3 linked regions of the Lonchura striata genome follow. The protein of the gene in region 1 interacts with the protein of each later gene in a pairwise test. Links are inferred from orthologs where the notes say so. Each region holds a gene or a part of one and is shown on either strand. Other genes may lie near its edges.

What was found. The genes of interacting proteins can lie anywhere in the genome.
Region 2: the proteins of UBE2K (region 1) and MID1 interact in binary tests that used the Homo sapiens proteins (3 or more experiments, as listed by UniProt). The link is inferred for Lonchura striata from reciprocal best matches to the Homo sapiens genes UBE2K and MID1.
Region 3: the proteins of UBE2K (region 1) and TRIM2 interact in binary tests that used the Homo sapiens proteins (3 or more experiments, as listed by UniProt). The link is inferred for Lonchura striata from reciprocal best matches to the Homo sapiens genes UBE2K and TRIM2.

What each region holds. Positions count from the first base shown.
Region 1 is NC_134606.1:22,965,885-22,972,869, reverse strand, and holds the start of UBE2K (ubiquitin-conjugating enzyme E2 K), read right to left. Parts: upstream 3,010-6,985; 5' UTR 2,840-3,009; coding exon 2,777-2,839; intron 1-2,776. UniProt on the Homo sapiens protein: Accepts ubiquitin from the E1 complex and catalyzes its covalent attachment to other proteins. In vitro, in the presence or in the absence of BRCA1-BARD1 E3 ubiquitin-protein ligase complex, catalyzes the synthesis of 'Lys-48'-linked polyubiquitin chains.
Region 2 is NC_134604.1:97,753,013-97,760,129, reverse strand, and holds the start of MID1 (E3 ubiquitin-protein ligase Midline-1), read left to right. Parts: upstream 1-4,107; 5' UTR 4,108-4,418; intron 4,419-7,117. UniProt on the Homo sapiens protein: Has E3 ubiquitin ligase activity towards IGBP1, promoting its monoubiquitination, which results in deprotection of the catalytic subunit of protein phosphatase PP2A, and its subsequent degradation by polyubiquitination.
Region 3 is NC_134606.1:42,883,604-42,891,604, forward strand, and holds the start of TRIM2 (tripartite motif-containing protein 2), read right to left. Parts: upstream 3,011-8,001; 5' UTR 2,764-3,010; exon of another isoform or gene 2,671-2,763; intron 2,291-2,670; exon of another isoform or gene 1,977-2,290; intron 1,492-1,976; exon of another isoform or gene 1,433-1,491; intron 1-1,432. UniProt on the Homo sapiens protein: UBE2D1-dependent E3 ubiquitin-protein ligase that mediates the ubiquitination of NEFL and of phosphorylated BCL2L11. Plays a neuroprotective function. May play a role in neuronal rapid ischemic tolerance.

The DNA of each region.
Region 1 (6,985 bases):
CTCCTAACAACCCCTAAAACTAACTTTAGTTAGTTTTATCTATTTAATTCAACTATTTAAGAGATGTAAAGTTACAGATATCTCTTAAATAAACAATACCATACTTCTTAACGTAATGTCATGTATATAACAAGACTACAAATAATACAGCAAGCAGTACAAAAGCACTTTTCTCTTCCTCAAGAGTGAAAAGACTTTAAATACTTTTGAAAAACACTATAAGTCCCAGATTCAACTTAGAACTATGGAAGATCCTTCATCTCTTTCCTGTAAACCAGAGAGCATATTTCATATTTTAGTTATTTCCCAGAAATTACATTCAAGGAAAAAGGAAGTACTAAGTAATATGAAAAGTATATTTAGTCCTGTGTAGCAAGGATTCATAGATCCTTATCCATAGCAAGGATAAACACACTTTACAGAATTCTTTCTTCATTTGGATTTAGCACGTCCAACACGTACTTCAAATGCAGAAGGAATTAACTGATCCAGCTGCTCCCTTTTAAAAACATTTCTAGTTCCATCATCCATTTCAGCATAAAAGTGAGTAGTGGAAAAAGACAGAGAACAAACTTCCTATGTGCTTTTCTCCCTGTGTGCCTACCCCCTTCCAAGGCATTTATGCTCCTGTTATATCTACAAGGAAAAGGTGGGGTGTGTGTGTGGGGGGGTGCCCTTCAAGTAGTTCGAAGCATTAAATAAGGAATAATTTAAGAACAGATAATGTGAGCCACTTTGCTTTCAGAGAGGGACTTATTAACCTCCAAAAAACAAACTTAGCATTGCCATTCATTAAAAATATTTCTTTTTGAAGAAACCAGGTTTAATAATAATTTTAGTAAGAAAACTTTTTTTTGTTTGTTTGTCATTTGTAGTATTTAGTTGGATCTTTTTTCATCATCCCACTCCACATGTTTTCACACCCAATGATAAGGACATCATAGTTTGACTGCCCTGGAATGTATAAACATTCACAAAAAAAAACTTTGCCTGCAACTTTGATAACCACTGAGTAATGCTGAAATTTTGCATTAAAGACATGGGAGTTAGTATTGTCTGTAAACAGCAATTTTATACATACTAATATATCATGACACTTATGTAGTTTGCCAATGGCAGAAGAAAAATAAATGTCAAGAGTCTGCTGTACTATGATTTTGAAATTCCATTAATTGAATTTTATAAGAATTATGACCTTTTTCTGGCTAGCTTCAGGCAGCTCAAAGGCTATCTTATAATAATATCCATTTCCAAAATTCTGTACTGAAATCCTGCAGACTAAACAAACAGAAATAAACAAAAATGTGCACACTGGATCCAACCTTTACAGTAAGAAAATTTACCATTCACCTCCCCTAAAACCTACTTAAATTAAGGTTTTTTTTTTCTTTTTTTGTTTTCTACATAAAGCAAAGGGAAATGGTTTTGAAGCATTTAGAAAGCATTTCCAAATTTCCAAATAGACTTTTTTTGTTTCCACAGTATCAGCTGGTTATACGGGGTATGAGGTCTACATTCTCTAACATTGGTATAAAGGTATCCACCTAGAAATTTCTCTTGGTCTCCATGCAGTTCTGTATTTGCTGTGCAATGGCTTGGCAAAATCAGCCTGGGCTCTAAAGGCAGCTGTAAAACAAGGCCCTTACATTTTTCTAGGGGCTAGCTCAAGATGTATAGCAACAATGTTGTTAGCACACAATTTAAAAGTACATTAACTACTGCTACCCTAAACGTGCTTTCCTTAAGCCATTAACACCTTTCAAAAACTATTCTCTCAATTTTTTCTCTGTGAATACGTCCAGATTTCTGGAACACCACCTTTAAGATTTACATATTCACATTAATATTTCACAAAGATCTAACCTGCAACATCATCCCAAGTAGGACGACAATGACGACACAACTATTAAAACCTATCTGGCTGACGTCCACCAACTCAGACACAGACACAGCAAAAGCTGTATTGATGCAACCCTGCAAATACTGCTATATATTCACCCAAACTGATCAGAACTTCTTTACTGCTGCCCTGAAAGTAGTCAGCCTCTCTTACTGACTACCACATACCTCTGAACATACTGATCAGGAAACGAGGTAACATGACTGAAATGAGTGAGGCTTTAAAAGCATCCATCTAAAGGTGAGTAAGCCTGCAGTGGGATAAAGGAAGTTCTGTATACAGGGAAGCTAAATGGGGGTTTAATAGCAACCGCTAAAAAACCCCAAACATTAAACCCGTACCCTGCAGCCTCTGGCACTGGCGAGCCAAAGGGGTCAGCCGAAGGGGATGTGTGGGATCACGCACCCCACCTCGCCCTCCGCAGTCCGCTTCACGCATCCCTCCCGGAGCCGCGCGGCCGGACGCGGGAGGGCGCGTGCCGGGGGTCCCCGGGGGTCCCCGCGGGGCCGGGCCGGCCCCACCCGCACCGCCCCGTGGCCTCCGGCCTGGCGGCGCTCCCGAGCACCGACCGCCGGCAGCCCTCGCCGGGTGCCGGCCCGCCCAGCCTCTTCGGGCCCTGCCGCCGCGCTTCCTGCGGCCCCCTCCTCCTCCTCACAGCGGCTGGCGGCCCCCGTCTCCCCAGGAATCGCCATTCCCCTCCCAGATGCCGTGGGACGGGCCCACCTCCGGCACGGGGAGGTGGGGCCGAGGGGGGTGCGGGGTCCCCGCGAAGGCCGGCGGGGCGCCTGCACCGTCCACTGCTGCCCACGCTCACACGGGGGAGGGTGGTGGTGGTGGTGGCGGCGGCGCGCAGGGGGAGGGGGGAGAGGCTCTGACCTCTTCGCTCTTCAGCACCTCCTTGAACTCCCGCTTGATCCTCTGCACCGCGATGTTGGCCATCTCCGCAGCGGGCACCCCTCGCCCCCTCCGCGCCGGGCCCAGCGAGCTCCACCGCCGCTCCGCTGGAGAACTCCCGGCCCTACCAAAATGGCGCCCGCGCCGAGCATGCGCGAAAGGGCTGCCGCCGCTCCTCAGGAGGGGCCGCGGGAGTGCGGCCGGAGCGGCACCTGGGCGGTGGGGGGGCTGGGGGGGCCGTGGCTGGAGGCTGCCGGTGGGGCGGCTGCGGCGGGTGGGCTTTGGGCCGCCTCCTCCCCGCTGACCACGAAGGAAGGGTGCGCTGCCCACCTGTGGAGGCGGAGGGGTTCGCCCACCGGCCGCCCACCCGCCCGTCCCGGGAGATGCCTGCCCGAGCCGCTCGCCCCGTCGCGGGCCGGGCGGGCCCGTGGCGAGAGCGTGAGGCGGCACCCCTCATGCAGAGCCCCGCCGCGGGCGGGCCCCGGGGCGCAGCTGGGACCGTTGTGTCGTCATGGCTCCCGCCCGGCCCTGCACCGGCAGCGGGCGAGCCCTGAGGCGCCGGGCCGCGAACGGCGGAAGGAGCAGCCTGGGAGGGCTGGACCGGGCCGGCGGCAGCGGGAGGAACGTCTGAGGTGTCGCTGAGGAAACAGCTGGCTCAAGGAGCAGCTGCTATGTCTGCTGGTGAAGCCCCCGAGCAAAAAGAACTAGAGGGCTCTCACGTAACTTGAGAATCTGCTCACCCGGGCCCGTAACAGCGGTTCTCAACTATTTTTTTCCCCATTATGCTCGGCAGAGAAAAATGTTATTCCTTACACGTCTCTCCCAGACCTGCTCCTCGTCCTCTTCCCCCCTCCCCCTGGAGACACTGGTGCCTCCTCACACGGGACCAGGAGAACTTGCAGGCCCAGAAACAGGTTACATAATGGGGACAGTGAAAGGAACTGCTTCTTTTCACAGATTCTGCTACAGTGTTTTAAAAGTAGATTAAAAAGCAAAGGTCAGTCCTGTCTAATGAACATTTTATTGCAGAAGCAAACATGAGCACCCACAGATGCTGCTTCTGTTCTGAATTCTGAACTAGGGAAACAGTAACCATAACTTCTAACCTGAGGTATAGAAAATAAGGCATGTTATCGAAGAGCATAGATTTTCAGAGAACATTAGATTAGATTTTGACTGTTGTTTATTCGGGAACTAGAGGCTTTCAAGACATTAAGGTTTACAGGAACATTTTATCGGGCCCCCTTTTAACAGTGCAGTGCAGGACAACATACAACACAGACATTCATCTCAACAAATGTTGACTTCTGGTAGGGGCGTTATCTGCAAATGCTGTTCATTCCTCCATTAGTATACACAGCATTTTGACTATTATATACACTATAAAGAAAATACAAGCAACAAAAAAAAAAAAAAAAAAAAAAAATTAAAATCTGTCAACTATATACAGATGGATATAGTCCTTTTAATGTGTTTACTCTTCCCATCTAGTTTGACTCAAAAAATTCATTTTTCTGCGAAAACGTTGTACCATTTGCATCTGTTCATCAATTTTTTTTTCAGATGAAAACTTTAAAATGTATTATACAATCAAATTTTTCAGCTGAGGTTTTCAATACCTTTATGAAAAGGACCATTTTGCATTAGGCCTGGTTTCTTTTTAATGACTTAGTAGTGTGATTTTGGTCCTTCATTTACAGAATAATTTAGACATCTGAGTTCCACTGATATGTCTTAAATTCCTTCTGAGGAGGTAGGCCATGGCTTTTCTGTGCCCTTGACTGTCACCAATAAAGAAAGGATGATAAGTCTTTTTTGCCTCTTAGATGAAAGTTAGGTTTGTAGTGTGCTGAGCAACTACGACTACTATAGCCAAAAATAATAAAGGTAGTACATAAAAACTCCTGGTTAAATCCTTCATGTCTTTTCAGACAACTCACAGAAAGAAGCTAAGCTTCCAATATTCAGATTTTGCTCTGAATGGAGTAGAAAGCATGACCTTTATTAAGTGTCAAAATCTTTTGTGTTCCTGTGAGTATGCTTTTATGTTATAGGTAGTGAACATCCAGTAACAGCCATGGTAAAGGGCAATGATTTTGTCTGGTTTGTACCTAGGTTCATTTTCATGTGCTCATTTGGATTACAAATGTCAGAGTCTGTTACTGCAAAAAATAAATTAATATGAATTACTGTATCTCTTTTCTTTGGTATACCCTATTCCTTTCCCTTGTCCTTAAGCAGGCATTTTTCACTTATCTCAAAACTGTTTCATATTCACCATAATACTGTGTTAATTTTCTCTTTGCTGAAAGACAGATATAGAAAGGGTTTTTTGTCTGGTAAAACAGAGTAGTAGTGAGTCTTGCCAGGATCAAAATCTACATAAAAATCAGTACCTTACATAATTAACTTGCTGGGAGTATCATTTTATGTCTCCTATACTGTTTTATACTTTATTATAATTTACTATTTTACAGAAGATTCTACAGGGTTTTAGTGTAGAACAGGACCATAGACTTTGAATAGGTGTTTTGGGCTTTGGTTTAGTTTTTTGGGGGAAGTTGGGCTTGTTTGTTGTTTTATTTTTGATTTGTTTAAAAAGATAATGTTTAGACAAAAATTTAGAATGTGGCCTCTTTGTGTGATTTCAGGGACTTCCATGTCTGACTCCCTAATATATTTCCATTTAGGGAGTCAGACATGGAAGTCCCTGAAATATATTTGTATATATTTGTGTGTTGATAACATAGCCCTGAATTAAGTTCTCATTAGTCTTTTGCCCTTGGAAAAATCCATACACTATATGTACAACTGTAGTCCATTGAACATAGCTCATTTTTTGAATTAAAAATGTTTGTAGTATATATGATTTCAAGAGATAGTTCTTTCATTGATCCTATCATCATTTTAGTCTCATACTGAACAACTCTTTCAATAGCAGCTTTTACAAACTGGCTGCACATTGGTTTATGCTTTTGCCCGTTGGTGTTGAACACAACTAGTAGAGTGGGAGATACAATTCTGAGTATATATGCATTGTTTATCATGATTGGCATATTGTTTTGAAAGACTTCTGTAAGTGGGAGAAGGAGGTATAGTTGAAGTTCAAACTATGTAAGGTTATTGCAGGAGGAAAGTTGGTAGGGTCAGTGGTTGTAAGGCCTCAGCCCAAGCTCTCAATATGGAAAGGCTAACAATATTCATTAGCCAATGCTAAGATAACCAAACATCCTAAACACTGAGGCATTTCCCATGTAATGTGGGAAGTACTGTCTATCGTGCAACCTGTATATATGTACAAGTTATATATGTATATATGTAATGTATATATATGTACAGTTCCCCACATTTTCATGGAAAAGTGGCTATGGCTCATGCAAAGTTTGTGCACAATGGACTCGCTGTACATCCAATATAGCCCTGTGTGCATGGTTCTGCTCTCCCAGACTATGGATGCCCCCAGCACCAGTGTACTGCCTGGGGACTCCAAGATGCTTGTGACAGCACTAAGTGCTTTCTGTTCTTCAAGTTAAGATTCATGGTGATCTTTTTTCATTTCCATATTTTCCTAATTTTATTTTTGCATATCAATAGGATATTTTTTCATATCAATAGGAACTACTCAGAGAAAATTTGGAATTACTGAGATAGTCCCCTATGATTAGAGGAAAATTAAATTTTTGAAACATTAATTTTGCAGTATGCAGCATTCTATTTCTCTTTTACTGTTTTATGTCTTGCATAACAAAACTACCACATCTTCATCTTGGCTCCTTTAGTTTAGAAAAATCAAAAATGTCAGGCTTGATCTTCTCTCTTTGTTGCTGGAGGATTACTTATTGGGAGAGGAAAGCTGTCTCAAGAGATAGGTATATTGATTTCAATCCCTTTAGAAACAGGTTGAACCTGTAGCATTTTAAAGTCTTATTTTATTTATTTCACGAGATATCCATATAAGGATTAACTTTACAAGCTGTGTTACTACTAGTTTATATGCACTTTGCATTTAAATGTTTGTATGCTCATTTATAATGGTGCTTTATTTTTTTAAAAGGAAACAATATTCATATAACTAGGCTATTTTTAAATTTAACCTTCACTTTCCGTCGATGGTATGCTTACAGCTCTCTTTCTATGATCCCAGCTTTTAACAGAGAAATACAGTAATTGTCTTTTTTATCTGCATATCAT
Region 2 (7,117 bases), on another chromosome or scaffold:
ACTTTGAAGTTCCAAGCTAGACATCCTCAGCTTCACACACACCCCTAATGTAAACCCAGCTGCACTGCTGAATCCTTGCTTTCATCTACTCTGGTACAAAAGTGAGAGACAGTTTAGGCTGAACCCATGGAGATCAAACCCCAGGGATATGCTATTAGATAAGCCTTAACCAAGTGAAACTTTGACTTCGGTAACATTCTTGCTCAAGTGACTCTAATCATCAGAGTTTTTAATTTCTTTCCCTTTTTACCCAATTATGGGTTTTTTACTGTGTTCTCTCATTGCTACTTCTTCCTTCCTTCTTGCCTAGTCATTCCTCTTCCAGTTTGCAGAGTTGGTATCCCACTGCTTTCTCAGAAGAAAAATCTGTCCAAGTAGATAAAGAATAGCCCTGAAATTCGACATATATGTGTTATATGTGCATCAATCATTAAACAACATTAATATTGAATAGTAAACTTTTAAAATTTACTGACTGTGTTAAGGAGCTCATTAAAAAGTGTACTCTTAGATCATCTACTGACTATGGAACTCATATTCCTCAATCAAATCCTTAAAAGTCAGTATCTTTAATATGTGCATTTTCTTCTGTTTATAAAGCTATGTCATCTCCAGATGATCCAGATGATCTTTAAGGTCCCTTCCAACTTGTTCTATGATTCCATTTTCTACACTTGCCTTTAAGAATTACTGTGAGTTTAGGGTAAAAAAAAAAAATCAAAGAGCTGCAGTAGATTGGACTAATCAGAGTGCAGTCACCAGTGAGTCTCAAAGAGCTTAGGAATCTTTAGTTTTGCTAGAATCTTTGCAGTGCAGTTGTCTGCACCACTCTGCTTGTAGGAAAGATTCTTTGAACTGTTCTTATGATTGCTATTAAAAGTGTATGGCTGTTATCCAAATGAAAGCCTTATCCAAGAGCCTTATGCTTTTTGTTAATCCTAGAAACATGGAAAGTAGTAAATATTGTGCAAAAAAAAAGTGCTTTGGACAGATTATACAGATAAGTGGACATGGTTGTGAGCAAGCAGAGAAAAACTTATGGAGCAGAGTGTGCAAACCTGCTGTGATTTCCTAAAACTCAGATGCCTTCAGATATTTATCATGACTCTGAAAGCTACAAGAATGAGAAAAATGAGCTCTTCCAAAATTTTGGTGCCTGTAGCTTTTGTCCCATTGTGAATTTCTTGTTCCTCTACGCCAGCTTCCAAGTACAAAGGTGGCTGCATTTTTCATGCTTCATTCTTCCTTTTGATCGGTAGAGCTCATCTCATTTGTGCATAGCACAGTTAACCACCTCCTGGATGGTGCAAACATTTTTATTTAGAGCTAATGTATTTATATCAATTGGTCTGTGAAGAGGCCTTATTGTTTCTAAAATGTTTAAGGTACTTCCTTCTTTACAATGGGAATGCTCTCAGATTGTTAGGGAGAAGCAAAGAAACAATGGTGGAAGTTTAGAAGCTGTAATTGGGACATAAATGGTTCACAAGTACATCTTTTAAAACCTCTTTTCAAAGGCTGAAATTCATACCACATGACTTTCACCATGCTAGTAGCCCCTAAGTCCCAGAATGGGGTCACCTAAACCAAGAGTGTAATTTTAAGCTGGTTCTTAGGAAAAAAAAAACAAACCCACAAAACAAACAAAAAAAAATCCCACACCCAAACAAACAACAAAAACAAACCAACAAACCAACCCCTAAAAATTTTACTTGAATTGATGAAACTCGATAATTGCTGATATTACATTGCATAAATCTGTCAGATTTTGACTTTTTTTTGGAATATCAATAAATTTCTGTCTTTTGTTTGATTATCTTTCAGTATCATAAGTTGAGTTCTACCTCACAGATAGTCTAATTCTATTCAAATAAAAATATTTGTAAATATGGAAACACTTAAATACTGTTCTTTTGAAACAAAGTGCATCTTTTTGAAAAGACCATACAATTTTTTGGAAGAATGAACAGGAGCTCATCTTTTTTGACAGATTGTGAATATCAAATCTCAAACTAGAAATAATAGAAACATAATTTGTGTTACAAATACATACCATATCAAGCTTAATCTCAAACATGGCCCTGGTTTCAGAAATTGTCTTCTGGAGCATGAAAATCACTGGCCAAGGGTGAACTATTCTGGACAGAGACTTTGTTGAGGCAAGTCATTTGGCCCCAGTATCCACCTGTAAAATCAGAGGTCTGATGCCCTCCAGTATTCATGATGAACCCATCAGATCAGATGAATAATCAGAAAGAAATACTGAAACATATTAACAACCTGTCCTCTGCTCTAAGGAAATCAGAGGCCAACTACAGGCATTAGGATGTTAATGAGATCAATGTGGAGGTGGAGCCTTGCATTTCAGAGTTCATACACCATCTTCCTTTTTCAACCTTTTTAATGGAAAGGTAATTTCTTCATGAAGAGTTCTGTGAAATCTGGGAGGATTTTTATGTGAAATATCTTGTAAAAGGATTTCTGAATTCATTTTAGCAGAGAATCTGCTTTCAAATACTGAATTTGCAGACACCAACTTTAAGATATATGAATCCTCTGATGCTTTATTATGTCTTTTAGGTAATAAATAAAAGACATCACATTGCAATTGTTTGCCTCAGATTACTGCAGTGAGACCTTTGTCCAGTAGAGAATTGTTCAAGATTCATGGTTCAATAATTGAATTAGCACAGTTAAGAAATAATTCACAAAAGTCACAGTCAAAGTGTTCTTTGTTTATAAATGAAACAAACAAAATTCTTTCTTTCCTTCTTTCTTTCCTTCTTTCTTTCCTTCTTTCTTTCCTTCTTTCTTTCCTTCTTTCTTTCCTTCTTTCTTTCCTTTGTTCTCTGGTGATGTTGTTATTTTCTTAAACTAAAATATGTTTGAGATAAACAATTTGGATTAATTCCTCCTCTTGAAGCCTTTTCCTTCTGCCCTAACACCCGAACTCCAAGAAAAGTGGAAACGGATTCCCTTAAATTCACATTTTTGAGGTAGGAAAATGTGTTCCAGGCATTTATTGCATGTTTGGTTCACTGTTAAAATGACTCTGTATGGTGGAAGATTCTCCTCCTGTCTCCTCCTTCAGCTAAGCAATAATGGGGGGACAGGACTGTGAAGTCACAACCCACATTGTGAAAAGAGATCGCATCCATCAAACTGTCACCTTGGTTTTCTCTCCAGGGTCACAGAGGAACAAAGTCAGCTTGTGTCAGGTTGAAATAGCATTGGTAAGTGTTAGTGTGTGTGAAGCTGGTGGCTTGAAGTCTATTTATTTTGTTTGAAAGGCTCAAACAGCATGCTGCCAAGCAGAAGAACAGGCAGGAGGAAGTCTCCTTATAAATTATTACTGGAAGGCTCGCAGCCAACATTTAAGATGTGAAATTATGCCATCTGCTTTTCTAGGTCTTTGATTTACTTTGTGGCAGCTGCCTGTTTCTGAGTACTTTGCATCTTGTGGAGCAGTAAAACTTGTGCTAAGAACTATTATGACAACTGTGTTTCTTTAACAAAGATTTAATACATTCTTGAAAAGCAGAGGCTATGCAGGGATGTTATCTCAATATCTGTCTCATGTTTTCAAGATAATTTGTACTAAAAAAATGTTGTCTCTTTTTACATAAACTGGAAATGAAGATAGAATCCTTCTCTTATTGTGAAAAATGCAATTGCTTGTTTTGATTGTAGCTATCAGAAGCATTTCAGGGAGGCACCAGTGTTTTTTTTAATTCGGTGCCTCATAATGCTATTGATTTTGTGTCTGTTGGGATCTCTTTTTTTATAATTTTGGTATTGATTTTCTGGGGCAACATCTTGGTTGGGTTTTTACCCTGTTTGAAATATTTAAGATTTATTTGCGTGTTCTTTGTGAAAAAGAAATATCTAAGGCCCAACAAGAGCATTAGGAAGTCACGTGGCTAATTTTAAAATAAGAAAAAAAGCCTAATTATTTCAGTGCAGGCTAACTGAGATGCATGCCGGGGACTCTGGCGAGCACCCAGGGGTGTTCTCATTTGAGAAGAGAGTGGCTGGGAGGGCGATGGCTGGAGAGGGGCACTTTTCCGTGCCCGGGGCGCTGCGCCCCAGCGCCTGGCGCGCTGTGGCTGCGCTCCCCGGGGATGCGGCGGGGCCGGGGCTGAGCGCCGGCAGCATCCCGCTTCCCCCACCCCCGGAGCATCGCTCCTGCTGGAGGCGTTCGGTGCGGCTGCCTTTTCCTGTGCGAGGATTAGGGACTGGGAGAATGGCTTTGTGAGGAAGCTCGGAGAGTGGGAGCTGAAGAGAGGCTGAACAGAGGGGCCGAAAGACTTTAGCCTTTCATAGTTCTTTCAGTCAGTTCATTCTCAGAGACCAATTGCATGCGATACGGCAGCTGGGGGTTTTGTTTTCCTTTCAGCTGTGTACTGTAGGAGAAGCTGGTAAGGTTATTTTTTTTTTTTTTTCCTTGTTCTACTGTTCCGTGGTGCTATTGTAATTGCTTTATCGAAGCGAGTGTCTGGTGAGGAAGGGAAGTTGGTTAATGATGCTGAGGGTCCCTGCATTGTCTCTGCTTTGTGCAGCTGCAGTTTGGGGAGAGGCACTGTTTACAGTGCTGGGGCTGCTTTCTGCTGAACAACTTTGCTGTTGTTTTTCCAAAGTTGTTTGAGCCTTTCTTTTGGCAAAGTTAGGAAAATAAGCAAATAAACAGACTTGGCTCTTTGGAAATGGGTAAATTTTTAGAAGCTGCAATTTGTTGAAAAATCTGTTCTGCCTAATTCTTAGTTTCAGATGTTCTTGCTTTGATGTTATCAGATCTGTTACTTTGCTGAATCAACTCCAAAACTGGGTTTTATGTGAGAGCCTTTCTTCACAAATCTTTTCATGTTTTCAGCAGGGCCAAGATAAATTGATAGCCAAAGAAAACAAAACAAAAATGTATCTGTGGAAGGTGAGAATACTTGAGGAAAGAATAAATTCTAGGGGAATTCAGGAATTTAAAAAAATAAATGAAGAAGCCTTAATTCTTGGCAGTAATTTTTAGCAAAATATCAGTGTAATGGGAAGCATGTGCTTAGGCATAGACTAGAAATACTCTTTCAGAAGATCCAAGATGTACAGGTGCATATCCTGTCTAACTGCACCCTTCCAAAGGAAAAGTTAATATATTTATCAACTTAAAGGAAAAAAAAAAAAAAAGTTAAACCAGAAGATCCTGGCTATCCTGTTCCTTTTGTTATTTCTAGAATAGTAACTTGTGTTGCTCAGAATCTTTTATTTCCTTTCATATTATCGTGGGAAAGTTTAGCTTGAATTGGTCGGACATACGTGAGCGCAGCTTGGGGTACACCATGCCTATTCCACAGGCAGGCTCTGAAAATCCTGCCTCTGACTCAAATGAATTGTAAAGACCAAAATTGCCAACAAAAGTTTCTTTTGTGGCCATTCAAAAATCACAAACAAGGTAAGAGGGAATGATTGACAACAGTTACGTTACTGATTGACAGAAAACCAAAAACTTGGTCTGTGACTTACTATGTTAGTTTTTCAGGAAGTGTTGACCTTTTTCACTATTATTCTGTTCTTTCTGATGGACTATTCCCAACTCCTCTATTGAGGCTAGAATGTCTATCTAAAATGTGTCTTTGTAATTACTGCCTATAGTCTGTATGTCTCTTTACAATGATATGCTTATTTGTTGATACCGAAACAAAATTGAGAAATGCATTGCAATCAGACCTCCATGAAAGAATGTGTATCTTTTATATGCCTCACATGCTTAGCTATTGATTTCAGCTACAGATTTCACTCCTATGAAGTAATGAAGTGCCCCATCCAAATCCTGCAGATTTATACTCAGTTCTAGCTGCTAATAATGGAAGGCCTAAGGATATCAATGTGGTTACTCATGTGAGTAAAGATTTGGAGACTCATTTCCCATTCATGAATGAAATGGTTTGGGAAACGCACAGTTACTATGGTTCTCTTTTGGCTTAAAAACAAAAATCTCCACAAAAACAACCACTAATGAGATCTGCTAGAGGGACCCAAGGATAGAAAAATTCAGTGCTTTAACATAAGAATGTAGTATTAATATGAGAATGTGACAGTAGTGTTTTAGGGGTTGTAATAAAATTTTCCCTCTCTCTAGCTTATTAACAGCTTTAGAAGGAAGGGAAAGTTAATTAATCTCTTTGTGTTGCACCACTAGATATGGCCATGACTTTTGAAATACCACCACAACTATGAGATACTCCTTACATTAAAAATAAAATTTAATTTAGGGTGGTCTTCATCATGTACTTGTACCTATTCTTGTGATAAGTGTCAGTCCTAGCAAGTGACAATAAACTGGTATTTCTGGTTAGGCTTCTCCTGGTTGTTTGTAGGCAAAGGTACAATATCTCCAGGGTACAAGGTTTATTTCACATCCTTGGTTTCACTGCAAGTGAACCAGAAGCAGGATGTCCTCTTTGTATATACCAGTTAAAGATCCTCAGTTCTCTAAAAGAGAAATTACTCTGGTTAAGTGTTTCTGAACTGTTCAACAGCATCCTTTAGTTTACAGAGATGAAAGAGATGTATTTGCTGCTACTTCTTTCCTAGTTTTTATGAATTCTAAATTTCCAAACTGTATTTTGGAGAAAAAACAGGCATCTAACTTAACAGAACTCACACCTGATTTTATAGCTCTGCATGGTAAAGGAACTATACTAAAATTATTTTGCCAAACAGTCCCAAAATTACCTGTCTGAAAGAGAGAATTTTCTATCCCATCAATTTTTAAAAGCAGAGATACATGGACTTTTATATGGCCATTATTGTTGGAAAAGGGCCTTGATCACCACCAACATCACATGCATAAAGAAGTAAATCTTGGCTATAAATGTCTTTTATTAAGTTAAAGCAGAACAAAATTCCAAAGGTAGAGGGAAACGCATAAGCAAACGTAACATTCAGTTATAAAATTAGAGCAATCTAAATATGTTTCAGCAGTCATTAGCTATCTGCTGTTTGTTACAACTGAAAGGTCTGTGCAGATCAAAACAGTAATATTGCTTCTCAAAACACATAAAAAATTGTGGAGGTGGACCTGCCACAGTGGTGTTGTGCTGGAGTTTGGTGATTTTTTGGTGAGTTT
Region 3 (8,001 bases), about 20 Mb from region 1:
CTTCAGAGAAAGTTACAAAGCAACGATGCATATAATAGCAAATGAGATTTCAGCTCAGGGCTGCAGCACCAGAACTGCAGGGGATTGTTAAATATTCAGTGAACATATGCCTAAAAAGTCAGTGCACATGCTATCAGAATTTCAGCATCCTGTGCACATCAATGAACCTTGCTTAAGCTTCATCAGGATCATTTACATTCTGGATAAGAGATTTGGGAGGAAAACTGGTATATGATGTAAAGAGCAAAATTAAAGGCCAAAACCTTCTTTTGGGGATATCTATCAGGAAGATGTCTGAGCAGATTTTAAATAAAATACCTCTGAAATTTTTAATCTGTGTCTCAAATCTTCCAGAAGAACTTCTGAAATTATTCAGGACACATATCAATAATTTCTTTATATCTGAGAGACTTAGGCAGGGGCTTTCAATGTATAATCCAAAGAAGCAGTGGATTAACTGTCTTCAGCTGAAATCCTGCCAGATGAGTACCCTTCCCCACGTAACATGGCATTTGATGCCTGCCATTTTAATAGTTTGACATTTTTGTGAGCAACATTGTCCTGAAAGGTCACCACTTGTCTCAGCAGCTGGCTGGCTGCCACTGAGGCTTGGGAAGCTTAGCTCCACAGCTGTCATCAAATATGACCATTTTCACAGCTAAGTTTCAGGGAAGCTATGAATTTATGTCTATGGGGGAAAAAGGAGACATGAGGAAGGAAACTTCAAAATCAGCTTTTACTTGCTACAGTAAGGTATTTATACATATACATCTCTAAGATGAGGCCAAAGTATTTCAAAAGCAGCTTATAAACACAACATTCACCAAATACCTGTGTTACAGCATCATTAGGGGTTATACCATGAATATGTTTAGTCCTCTGTTGCAGCAAACTACACATATATTCTCTCCCTAGTCACTTAATGGCAGTCACCTGTTAACTGTGCAAGTGACATTTTCACATGGCTCATGAAAAGCTGACAGTACCACTGGTCCCCAAGAAATAACAAACCTGTAAATAAAGCAAGAAACACAACATAGCAATTGAAACAAACTGGCTACAGCCTGCATTTCTTGTGTAGTTATCTGACATTTATACTTGGTACTGATCACAAGCTGTTTTCGAGAAGCAGTTTTCATTCACAGCACAGTAAGAATTCATTAGCCATAAACTTGATAAGACAACAGCAATACAGAAGTTTTGAATTAGAAAGGAGAATAAAAACCAACATACTGTTTCTTCAGTGCTATGAGACCAAAAATACACTGACAAGTATCCATTTTTTTCCTTACAGTATCACCACAACACTGAGAAACCTTCAGCTCCACTGCTTCCCAATCACCTTACTATCCTGTCTTGATGCCACTGTAGCAGATAAAGATCATTTCATATACAGACAGAATGAGATGGGTGAAAAACATGCATTGCTCACCGTGCTATGTTCATGGTTCTTATCAGGTCAGATGCAGACTTACTGGTGCCCCTTATGATGACTATTTATTTGTGCTTCTGATAATAAGGTACTGTTGAGCTTCCTAAAGAGAAGTTCAGGTCTGCATTTATGGATTTTTTAAAAAAAGATTCCAGGTGAAAAATACCATAGAAAATTTTTCTTCTACGTGCTCACAAACCATCAATTACTACTGAAGTATCTTTCTTGCTGTATATCTAACCTAAGTAGAAAAACATCTCTCTATAAGTACCTCCCGCATTTGCTGGACTTCTCCCCTCACAGAAAAATGGCAAGCAGACATCCCCAAAATCAACAAACACAACTGCAAACTATTTGTTCTAGAAAGCTTTCAAGCATCCCTTTCCCTCAGCAGCTCTTCCACTGAAAGCCAGAACAATACTGCAGAGAAGCTTCCCCTGTCAGGATGTTTTCAGCTTTCATCTCTCTGCTTTTTCAAGCAGAAGACTAAGGTAGAAACCTTAATTAGCAATCTGAAAGCACCACACAGGCAAGGAATACTTACATTTGCAACTGTATTTGTGATATTTGCGCACTGATCCAGCGACTGGTGATTACAAAGAAGAGAATGAGCTTTTTAGACTGCCTTTCAAGTCTTGCAGCAGTGAATTGAAGGCTGCTATCTGAAAGCTACTCATTTTCTATATGCTGTGCTCTACTTGCTTCCCATGTGCATACAACACAGCTGCCAGATTTAATAACCATGTCAGCCTGCTTTCCCCAGAAAGCAGCAGAGAGATGACAGGATGAAGTAGCCAGAGCGTTAATCTGTAGTTATGGCTGCACTAAGCCTTGAATGAATGTCACAGTTTTATTGCCCTTGAAAAAAAAATAAAATAAATGAAGCTGTTTGTGAAAAAAATAAGTGCAAAAGGATTTCAGAAATGTTAATCCATACTTGCCTCAGTGATATTAAAGTACATTAAAGACATTTCACCTTTCTTTTTTTTTTTTTTTTAATCAGTTAATAAATCCTAGGACTTGAGGCTTTTAAATTCCTTTAAGAATACATTTTTCCTAGCAGTGTATGCTTGTACCCCAAAAGAACAAAACAATTAACTGACAAATTAGTTGAGCTTCCCTTCTCTCCTGTTTCTCTCTGGAAGGAAGCATTTCCATACCTGTCTTTGCTGAATTCTTTCAATCAAAAAAAAAAAAAAAAAAAAAGTTCATAAAAAAGAGGGGAAATTCTCTTTTACCATTTAAATTCTCCCACGCACAGCGGTTCCTAGAGCAGTGGATTTTAGGATCTGCTGTGGTCAGTTCACTGCCAAGGTGGAGCATCGCCGTACCTCCAGCTGTAAAACCAGTTCCACTCGAGGGAAGGGCAGCCAGACTTTACATGACAAGAGAAGGTGCCACACATGCAGTCAAAAACAACAAACTGCAAACAAACCCAGAAACGCTCGGTTGAATCTGCAACAGTTCAGGGATGCCGCAGAGGTCATATGACATCTGTGCGCGTCTCTCTCTCTCTCTCATTTATATTCCTTTCACTTCCCTTGGAGGCACCTTCTCAGCAGGGAGTGGTTTCTGTGGAAACTACGGACAGTCGGTTTTCCCCTCGGAGAAACTGTTACTATGGTAACCTTACATAATGTATATGGCCTAGATTCTTTTTAAAAATAATCTAACCCTGAAATTCTCATTATAAAATTAGAGCTGTTTTGTCTGGGGGGCAGGAAATATAGTTATTTAAAAATTGTATTAGAAATGTAGGATTAAAAAAAATCCAAATGGTGTTACAAATTAAATGAGAGTATAGGGGGCACGTCATTGCATCAGTCACAAAGACAAAATAATTTGCAAATGCCAGTAAACAAGGTCTATTATTTAGCACTTGTGGGAAGCAAGGAGGAAGGGAAGTATATACTTGACATCATGGCTCAGTGCAGCAATCAATATTGCATCTTGCAGAGTTGAAATTTTCTCTCTCTGTTTATTCTTCCAGCAACCAGGACCTCATGATGTAAGCCCAAATACTGCTTACATCTACCCCACTCAAAACTGAAAGATCGACTTCTAAGTCACTTACCCTACACTATGAAATCATGCTACGTCAAAACTCAAGGAAGTGCCTGAAAGGAGCTGTGTGAGTCAGTGAGGCGTAGCGTGCAATAGAGCAGAAATAGAGAAGGCACACTGCTGTTTATATGACTTTCAGCTCAGAGACACACAGCCTGGTGGGGAGGGCAGGGCAGGTCTGTCAGATAACATCAGGGACAGGGATGTTAGGGCCCCAGCAATGGGGCTGGGCAGGGTCAGTTTTCTAAGTCAGCAACTGAAAACCTGCCTGGCTGGGAATGACATGAAGTGGTAGTCACATCACAGATGCTTTGTGACCCCAGGTAGGGGGTCAAAACATCACAGATGTTTTGTGAAACAGATTAGGTAGATATCTCCCATCTTTCCTCTATCTGCAGCCACCCTTGGAGATAACCCTTATCCTGGTTATACAAATCAAAAGTCAAATGGTTAAGAAGGCAAAACTACCTGTTTAACTCAAGACAAAATTGGTGATTTCAGTTTGAACAATACTGTTGGGGAAACTTTGCTCGAATCCTACCTCAGAGATATCTGTATTGTGACTCAGTGGATTGATATCTCTCCTGACCTGTCAACCCAGCAACTGTTATTAGCATGAACCACATTAATATACATGGAAGTCTGATTTTTCTTCTCTCCTCCTATTCAGAAGATGAACAAGAGAGAGCATCTGGCCTACAGAACATTTCCCCAAAACTTAAGCAAGATTCTCCAACATTCTGCAGTGCAAAGGGGTCTCTCCAGGTGTGACAAAGCAGGCATGAAGCATTGCTTCAAAGCCCACAGCATCTACCTTTCTTATGTGGTGGACATACTTTTACAAAAGAGACTCATACTGCCTGAAGGTGAAGTGTTGTTTGGGATGTGGCTTCTTGAAACAGGTGTTCAAGACCAGGGTTTCACAAAAAACTTGCTGGTGCCACAAGTAATTGGACATATCGTAATATAAAATCCTTCAAAGAAGTTTCACTGCAATGGGCAAAAGTCCCTGGACTTTTAAATTAAAGAAGAAAACTGCTCCATAAACTGCATTGAACACCCAAACTGTCCTATAGAGGAGATTTACTCTGACAATCACAGAGCAGTATTTTACCAGAGGCTGTGCACACAAACACACATTTTTGTCTGTGAAACTTAAGGGTTGTACAAAGATATGAAAGTCTTAAACATTCTCTCTCCTTTACACAGAAAAATGAAGATTTGATGCATTGTGTTTTCTTCAAATGGGTTTGAGGAAGTTCAGCATCAGCAGGATACAAAACTTACATGACTGAAAATTTTAGGATTTATCAAGTATCACATTCCTAGACAAGCATTACACAGGAGTCAGGCCTCTCTGACATTTGACTTTTAAACCTCAGGGCTCTCATGTTCTACCCACAGGACATATAACCACAAAGCATTATAATCAATCTTTTCCTTTCTAAAATTACAAAAAATGGAATATATTTTAAACAAAACATCTACATCCATTTCTGAATTAATCTTATATACAAAATTAAAGAATAATTAGACAATGTCTAGTGAAACATATATTTAGTGGCTTTAGGAAAGTCAATATATTCAAAAAGAAAAGCAATAAAATGAAAAGATTCCTTAAGCCGATTAGAAAGAGCTGAGCTGTCACTTAAACTCATGTAGTTCTGATACTTTGCTAAGTAAAACATTGAACTTCAAAGAGTACATTGCACAAAGACAGCAACAGATACAAATTGAGAATGAGGTAAAGCAAGGTAAAGCAATGAATCTAACAGCTTTTTTTTTAAAAAGCAGGAAACAACTGACATAGAATGAGAAGGCTCAACTACTTTTCATAGCTGTGCCTACTCTTCCAACACAGAAAAGCACAGCACAGTGAAAGCCAACATGGTTACATGACTTCTGGTCTGAGCTAAGTAACATCTACCCAGCTCATTGTGGAAGCAGCATGAACTTGGAATCCTCTCCTTTATCTACATAGTCTGTGAGTATCCAACCCATGGACACTTGTGGCTTCCTCAGGCTAAGCAAGGACACACAGCTCAGGAGTGGACATTTCACTAGTGCCAGTGTGCTTCCAGTAAGTTAATTTGCAGCACTTACACTTCTTAGCTCAAACTCCAATCGTGCTGTAAGGGACCTGGCTGAGATACAGCTGAGAAGGCAGTTAGACTAACAAAAGAAAGATCTGCATTCATAGCAGGACTCAGGCACAAAAAGATGCAGCTGTAACCTGTGAACTTGCTGTTGGTTTCCTTCCAGCAGGGAGTTAGCTCACTCTAGGAGTTCAAGCTTCTCTTGACAGCCCAAGATCTGCAAAAATGGCCTCTCAGCAAACAGATTCAGAAAAAAATATAATTGAGTTGTTATGATCTGCACATTGTTTGGCACACCTCATGGAACATGGTAGCAACTCTACAGTCTACCATACAGCTGAGAAAGGCAGATTTTCAGTGGTTATTTAAAAGGTCTTTCGCCCATTCCATCAGTATTTATTATGTTTTCCACATCTTTTCCCATGCCATTACATCACAACACAATATTATATATAACTTTGGTCAGAGATAGAAGTGTCAATAGAAACCCTTTGTACAATATTACATCACTTATTCCAAAGGAAATCTGTTGCTGCACTGCCTCAGTTAACTCCATACCAGGCTTTTACATAGACAGGTTACTTATATTTCTAGGGCATTGACTGCTCATCAGATTTGCATTGCTTTTGATACTACAGTCTCTTCTCTCTCATGGTCCTATTATAGTGAAAAAGTCCTATTCCCCATCTAATTAAATTAACATGCTTTGGATGAAGAAAATAAATCTTAGCAGTAAATAAAGGAAGAGACAGATTCACAAAGAGGCACAGGCAGGGGTGTCAGCTCCTAACCACAAGGTGCCTTGCAGTCTGCAGTTCCTCCTGCCAAGATTTCTGTGCTTAAGCAATCCACAGGAATGACACCCACAAAAGCCAGCACGTTAGCACAGAGCTGTCTAACTTAGCTACTGTGAATGGTGAGATATTAAATTCTCTCCATGAACTTGGTATCCTCATCTGGACTGCAGGAAAATGCCCATCTCCAACTGGAATTCATACATACGCATTCTCTTAAGTTCCCTTTCTTAAAAAAGCTGACTGGGGAAGAGATGAGAGCCAATTACCATATGCAGAAAAATTACAGATTTGGGCTCAAATCTCTTAGCAGCCAGATAAAAGCATAACCAACATTCCCTTATTTAATTGTATCTTTTTAGATTATTGTAACTTCGGAATCCTCCTGAAGCTGCTGCCTTGCTGTTAGCAAATAGCAAAGGGAATGCGGGAGAGAACAAAGCCCACTATGTAGCCCGTAGTCAGGCTGCTGTTTAAGGCACTAACCTTGAAAGTCCAGTCTCTGCCTCGTAATTGGCTGCTCATTAGGCACAGAATCAGGTTTCTGTGCCCCCGACGGCAGGAGCTGTTTTGCTGGGCTTCAGCAGGTGCTTTCTGAGCTCTGCACACTATGCTTCAGAGAGGACAGGCACAGTGTCTTCTGTGCTCAAGTATGATGGAGATGCCCAGCTGCTCAGCCCTTGCTGCTGCTTAGCATCTCCAGACACCTGGGTTACAAGGCAGCTTTTGAAGGCTGACATTCCTGCCTGAAGTATTTAAGGTAGCCATTAGGTATTAAAGGCCATGTCTACAAATGTGGGTGCAGGGCCACCTGAGCTGGCAGGGATCTGCATAGTGACTCATAAAACAGAAATGCCAGGGAGTTCAGTGCACAATCACACAATCTGGCTCTGTGCATGGCCACTAACAAGCCTTTGTGCTGTGCACAAGCCTTCACTCCGTTGTAACTCTTCCAGATTGAGGGTTCCTGAACTCTAGTCTACCCCAGAGAGTAGGCAGGCCCTGCATCTGGCCTCAGTCCCTGCATGGATCTTGCCTGAGTTCAGCCAAGGAATAGTCATTATGGGGATTAAAACTAAACTGTTTTCATCTAGCCTAAAACACACAGGAAACAGATCAAAGGTGGATTTCTGCCTGGGTTTCTCATGGATTTCAATTTTAGTTAACACTTACAACTGCAGGCCTGCCTATTTCTTTGTTTTAGAAGTACAAATCATTGCCAAGGCTCTGGCAGCCAGGCCAAAAAAATAGTGACAAATAGCGTAAGCTGATCTGGCAAGCTTCATTAAGGGCAGATTAAACATTGACAGTCCCCAAGGTTTTTGTGATATGATTGCATGACATGGCCAATGAACTAGTCATTCCCTAGGGTGAGAAGCAGAGATGATGTTCAACTGCCTGGAGAGTGGAACATAAGCTACTCTGTGAAATTACATGGTACAACAGTGTAAGATACAAAGCACCATCTCTGAACAAGGTGCTTAACCTCAAGTAAACCTTGTGACTAGCTAAATAAAAGCCTGTCTACTGCAAAGATGGCTAAGCAGTGTAGAAAAAGAATCAACAGACCTGCAAAAGGCCAACATAGTAATTTAACAGTCTATCCCAGTCAGGA